Caenorhabditis elegans: one gene and its partner. The protein of the gene in region 2 binds, or shares a complex with, the protein of the main gene of each other region. Each region holds a gene or a part of one and is shown on either strand. Other genes may lie near its edges. The genes, in order: spcs-2 and spcs-1.

Region 1 (3,253 bases), on a different chromosome or scaffold from region 2:
GACCGTATTTTTAAAGGGATAGCAGATGGTTACCGAGCTCCAGTTGTCACAATGCGCAAGGTACTGCTCAGAGAATATTGAAGCTTTAAATAATAAATTTTGCATTTTCAGTCCGCTAGAAACCATGAAAAATCCACAGAGCCTCAAGCGACGAAAGAGAACGCTCCGCGGCTAGTCGGAAAACGTAGAGAACAATTCATAATCGGTGAGCAAGTCACGTGCACACAGAACGGAAAGCCATATGACGCGTACATCGTTGACATCATAACCGACACTGATGGGAAGGATTTTTACTGCGTTCACTTCAAAGGATGGAACAGCCGTTACGATGAGAAAATTCCAGTCGGCGAGGAGCAGGGTCGATTGTTCAAGGGCTCGGCCGCGAAGTACGCAGAGATGCTCGAGATGAAGAAGTAGATGGGATCTGCTAATAAATTGTTAAATTGCTAAAATTTTGTGTTTGTTAATTGTTCTTTTCAAGCTATTTGTACAATGAATTCTTACCGAAATTGACAAGTTCATATTGTATAAAATGCTGGAAATATTAGCTTTTGACAGACAAGAAACAGGATAGATGGAGAGAGAAAGGGGCACCCATGAAAAGCGAAGAAAAGGGGAAATAAATTAGGCCAAGAAAACCAGATAAATTAAATAAATTATTGTTCGCTACGAATCAAGCGGTTGTACAAGTCGTCGACCTCCTTCTTCACAAGTGGCACGATGATCTCTCCATCGTTATCGATATAAGCTCCGATAGATTTCGTGATTTTTCCCTGTCCAGAGCGTCCTTCCTTCTTAAACTCGGCCGACAGCGTGTACTTATCGTCGTGAGCCTTGATCTCCGAGCTCCACGCCCATTTTCTCGATTGTTTTCCGTCGACTTCGGTGGCCTCGTAGATGCAGTCCTTCTCGACGTACCACTGATACATTTGAAGAATTCCCATGCATATGAAGTAGGAAACCGAGCACACGGCGAGCACGATTTTCGACTTTGGGAACGGCTCGTAGTAGTCGTAGCCGCAGGCGAACGCGGAGAACGCGACGCCGATGAATGAGATGAGAAGACGCAGATTCATTAGATTATGCGATTCCGTCCATCCGACTTTGTCGTTCAGAATCTGAAACGAAAGATTTTAATTTTAATTTTAATTTTGGAGTTTCGGAGAGCAAACCTTTTTGACGACTTCATCAAGGGCATTCTTCACTGTTGGACCGTCCCATTTGTTCACAACTTTCACCGGCTCGTCCGTCATCTGAAAATTAATATATTTGAGAATAAAAATTGAATAGAAATCCAAAAAAACCCAAAAGAAATGAGCAAAAAGCTAGTGGTGACGTCTCAAAATTGGAAGTCTGCATTATTGCGTCGTGGTGTTTGCGTACTTTTTCGTGCGCGGCGCTATTGCATTTGCTTAGAAAACCGCGCCGCAGGGGGGTTTGAATTGCGAAAATGCCGTTGAGCTTTGAGAAAAGCTTTTTTTTTGTTTTTATCGATAAATTTATCGAATTTTCGATATTTTTAATCTATTTTTTGATTAAAAATCGTTCAAATATACATCATTGGCTAGAATTGCTGCTAAAACTCGCTTAAAACACCAATTAATCGATTAATTTCTTTAATTCCTTCAGATGTCTTCAAAGAAGAACTTCGAAGTCGGCGAGAACGTCGCGTGCATCTACAAAGGCAAACCATACGATGCCAAAATTACTGATATCAAAACCAACAGCGATGGCAAGGAACTCTACTGCGTTCACTTCAAGGGCTGGAACAATCGATACGATGAGAAAATCCCAGTCGGCGAGGAGAAAGACCGCATTTTCAAGGGAACAGCCTCGGAGTATGCAGAGAAACACAACGCAGAGCTGCCAACAACTGCATTGAAGCCGAAGAAGAAAAGTCTTGCGGCTGAAGCACCACGAGACGATCGTGATGACACTCCGGGGACGTCGAAGGGAAAAAAGGCGAAATCGGTGACAATTGCGCCGGTTATGACCGCCGACGATATGAAGGTCGAGCTTCCGAAGCCACTGAGAAAGATCCTGATCGATGACTACGATCTTGTCTGCCGTTATTTCATAAACATCGTGCCACACGAGTATTCAGTTGATCAAATCATCGAGGACGTAAGCATAAAAAAAATTAAAATATCATTTTTTCCGATTTTCAAATCCAACATTTTCAGTACATCAAAACCATTCCGGTCAGTAATGAGCAAATGAGAACGGTCGATGATCTGCTCATCGAATACGAGGAAGCTGATATAAAAATCACGAATTTGGCTCTGATTTGCACCGCGCGTGGACTCGTCGACTATTTTAATGTCACTTTGGGGTTGGTTAATTCGAATATGTTAAACAGATGCATGCAAATTGCACGTAGCCCAATGTTTAGTACCACTGCAACTTTTTTCGAACGAGGGACGAGGAAAAGCGGTTTCTAGCCCATGGCCGAGGGGCCGACAAGTTTCAGCGGCCATTTATCTTGCTTTGTTTTCCGCGTGTTTTCTTTAATTTTTCATAGACTTTTCCCGTTTTTTTCTTATTAAAACTAAATAAAAGATAAATAAATATTTTTGCAGATGCCAAAACAATTTCCAAGTGAAAAAATTATGTATTCAGTCGGCAAGTAGCGGTGAAAGTGCTCAATGTTATATGATGGATTACGGGAATACTAAATCTAAACCTTTTCTGAAACATGGTATATATTCTGCTTAGAGACTGAAACTACCCGATTTTCATCATAACGAGACCGCTGAAAAAGATTTGAGATTTTCAAAATTCAACTTTTTGTGCAAAAATCTCAGAACTTTTTGAGCGGTCTCGTTATGAAAATCGAATAGTTTCAGTCTCTAAGCAGAATAAATGCCATGTTTCAGAAAAACGATTAGGTTTAGTATTACCGTAATCCATCATATAACATTGACCACTTTCACCGCTTCTTGCCGACTGAATACACAATTTTTTCACCTGGAAATTGTTTTGGCATCTACAAAAATATTTATTTATCTTTTATTTAGTTTTAATAAGAAAAAACGGAAAATTTTTTTGAAAAACAAAAGAAAACACGCGGAAAACAAAGCAAGATAAATTGCCGCTAAGTCTTGTCGGCCCCTCGGCCATGGCCTAGAAACCGCTTTTCCTCGTCCCTCGTTCGATAAAAGTAGCAGTGAGTACACATAATGCCCTCCGCTTCGTAGAATAGTCGCCCCAATCCCACTTGAAACAGTTACGATGTAAGGATGAATTGTTTAGT
Region 2 (3,135 bases):
ATAGAAGATTGATTTTTTTCTGTTATTTGATGATTCCAATAACAAAAATGGTTCCAAATCAAAAATATCAGGCAAAAACTGTAAAAGCATTTCCTCGGGGAGTACACGAGCTCCGTATATCAACACATGACTAGTTTTTCGGCGATTGTTCCATTTTTAAGTCAAGAAGAGATCCATTCAAAAACTACATACTCATCGTCTCTCTTCACAAAAACTCCAGCATACGGCTGTTTCAGTGAAAGCTGTCGCCTGATCAGTGCTTTTAAATTGTCATCTTTCACGATCTGAAATTTTAATTTTCAGTTTTCCGCCAAATACGTTATCTAATCTCACATCAACTTTCTTGATAAATCCTGGAAATAGTGGATATCGATTGATAGCTAACATTGGGACATTTGGCATATCGGCTGGCACTTGAATCGGTGACATTCCTCCCTGAAAATCAATTAAAATCGTCTTTTAATGACTGAAATTCTAAAAAACTTACCAAATCTTTGTACAGTTCCAATGAGTCATCCACAGCGATTGGATCGTCATGAGTGGAATAAAACCTCCTTTCTCCTGAATTTCCTGCTAATTCCATAGATTTCATCATTAAAATCGATTGATTTCTTTGAGAAAATGTGGCAAAGCTTTGATGTGCTGAAGCAGCGGCAAGAAGCCGCGTGCGAGTTGCCCCGCGGAGTAAAACCGCTCCAGCGCGGTACATTTCTGTTGAACGGGGAGTAGGATAGGAGGATTCAAGACTTCAGAATAAAAAAGTAAAATGTGTCGCATTAAAACGTCAATAAAATATTAAAATCGTTGTAGATTGAAAATGAATTTATTATGGTTCAGAAGATGATTCTTATATCACACAGAAAAATGAAGAAGAGCTCATAAATAATTTAATTTAAAATAAATATTTGACCAGATCCCGAGTAAAACGTTTTTCTTTAGTTTTTGCATCATTGCCGATTTATTTCGTCTTCTTTGTCTCCTTTTTCTTGTCTCCAGATTCTTGTGGTTCCGCAGGTGTGTGCCACTGAAAATTAAAACATTTTATACGATTTCTGTAACTTTTTCTCACCACAATCGGGTTCTTTCTGAAGAGGAATGGCCATGGTGGAAGAATGATGAGAGCTGTGAACGCAGATGCTCCCAGCACTGTGAACATGGCATATGAAAGCTGTTGAGTCCAGAATCCAACGAGGAAGCCAATAATTCCAGCAATAGTGAGGATTACCTAAATTTTATTGCTTTATTTTATGTAATTTCAGTCAATCAATTGTGGTTTGTTACCTGGTAAGTTCTCTCGGCGACTTTCTGTCCTTGAAAATCAATATGCGACGATAGTTTCTGCAGTGGAGCAGGGAGCATTGCAATCATTCCGTCCATGGTTAATTATGTAATAATTAAAAATCAAATTCAGTTATAAAAATACAAAAAGATTAAAGCAAAACGAATTCGGAATAATTTTGTTCCAACACTCCTTCATACAATGACGTAAAATAGAGATTTTCCATGGAGCGCACTTGCACATTTCATATTTTGAAGAACATTTGCAAATATTTGTGGATTGAAAACCAGAAATAAATCTTAAATAAGCTTAAATTGATATATTATTAAATTCAATAAACTTTATTCTAATCAGGAAACAAATAAATTTCACACAAAAGAAAAAAACATACAGCTCGAACACAATTATGTGAACAAAGAAGAACAAAACAACGAATTAATACGATCGGACCTTTGGTGGAACCCAGTCGGTTTCAGATTTATCGAGAGTTTTGTCGATAACTGGGCGGTATGTCAAATCAACAGCTCCAGTTTTCGTATCGATACCGATGATGGAATGCTTGCGCCAGTGCTGATCAAACGGTTTTTTCTGCTGTCCCTCAAGTGGATTGCTGTAGTCATATTCGTCAATTCTTTCTTGGAAATCATCACGAGCGTGGGCTCCACGAGATTCAGTGCGATTTTCGGCGGCGACGATGGTTTGATTGGCGTTGATAAGCAAATTCTGAAGCTCGAGAGTTTCGACAAGCTCCGAATTCCATACTTTTCCAGAGTCGGCACACGCCTTCAAATTTTGTTGCTCTTTGTAGATGGAGGACATTTTATCGACTCCTTCCTGAAAATATCCAATATTTTTTGAAAATAGAATAAATCTGTATTTACTTACCTTCAAAAGATCGCCCCGTCTGAAAACAGCAGCATGTTTCTGCATTGTCATTTGCATCTTTTGTCTTAATTCGATAGATGAAATATCTCCTTTTGAGTGCAAAAGTCCGTTCAAATTGTCACACGATTTCTCTTCACAATTTACCGGAAGCTCCGGGATTGAATCTCCTGGTTTGTTCTCATTAAGGATACTGAAATCTTTAGTTTAAACCTGTTCAGATAAATGAAACTAACGTGAGAGCGCAAGATCTTCCAAAGATAACCAAATCTAGAAGGGAATTTGCTCCGAGACGATTTGCTCCATGAACTGAATGTGCTGCACATTCACCAGCGGCATAGAGTCCTGGAATCACTTTATCTCCTCCTTCAGGTGTGAAATCGAGAACTTGTCCCTTGTAATTCGTAGGAACTCCTCCCATGTTGTAGTGAACAGTTGGAATGACTGGAATCGGCTCTTTGGTTACATCCACACCAGCAAAGATTTGAGCGGTTTCCGAGATTCCTGAAAGAAAATTATTAACAATTGAAAACACTAATATCACGTACCTGGCAATCGTTGTTGAAGCTGTTCAGCTGGAAGATGATGCAATTGAAGGTAAATATGATCTTTGTTTGGTCCGACTCCTCTTCCTTCATTAATTTCCATAGTCATGGCTCTTGAAACAACATCTCTTGACGCTAAATCCTTGGCATTCGGTGCATATCTTTCCATAAATCGTTCTCCTTGCGAATTGACCAAATATCCACCCTCTCCTCGTGATCCTTCGGTGATCAAACATCCAACTCCGTAGATTCCAGTTGGATGGAATTGAACAAACTCCATATCAGAATTACGAATACCTGCACGAGCGGTAAGAGCGGTTCCATCACCAGTACAAGTGTGAGCAGATGTACACGAGAAGTAAGCTCTTCCATAGCCTCCGGTGGCGAGGACAGTGTTCTTTGCGCGGAAACGATGAATCTGTCCAGTTT

The links.
Region 1: spcs-1 (region 2) and spcs-2 share a complex: the UniProt entries of both Caenorhabditis elegans proteins name them as parts of the signal peptidase complex.

What each region holds. Positions count from the first base shown.
Region 1 is NC_003281.10:12,873,031-12,876,283, reverse strand, and holds spcs-2 (Signal peptidase complex subunit 2), read right to left. Parts: upstream 1,254-3,253; coding exon 1,173-1,253; intron 1,119-1,172; coding exon 657-1,118; 3' UTR 501-656; downstream 1-500. Other genes in the region: cec-7 (Chromo domain-containing protein), read left to right, coding at 1-60, 112-417; mrg-1 (Mortality factor related protein 1), read left to right, coding at 1,630-2,124, 2,184-2,332, 3,253-3,253. UniProt on the Caenorhabditis elegans protein: Component of the signal peptidase complex (SPC) which catalyzes the cleavage of N-terminal signal sequences from nascent proteins as they are translocated into the lumen of the endoplasmic reticulum.
Region 2 is NC_003279.8:10,681,664-10,684,798, forward strand, and holds spcs-1 (Signal peptidase complex subunit 1), read right to left. Parts: upstream 1,386-3,135; 5' UTR 1,378-1,385; coding exon 1,282-1,377; intron 1,226-1,281; coding exon 1,070-1,225; intron 1,025-1,069; coding exon 959-1,024; 3' UTR 809-958; downstream 1-808. Other genes in the region: lonp-1 (Lon protease homolog, mitochondrial), read right to left, coding at 193-284, 334-435, 488-709; sdha-2 (Succinate dehydrogenase [ubiquinone] flavoprotein subunit, mitochondrial), read right to left, coding at 1,715-2,113, 2,165-2,354, 2,398-2,665, 2,710-3,135. UniProt on the Caenorhabditis elegans protein: Component of the signal peptidase complex (SPC) which catalyzes the cleavage of N-terminal signal sequences from nascent proteins as they are translocated into the lumen of the endoplasmic reticulum. Dispensable for SPC enzymatic activity.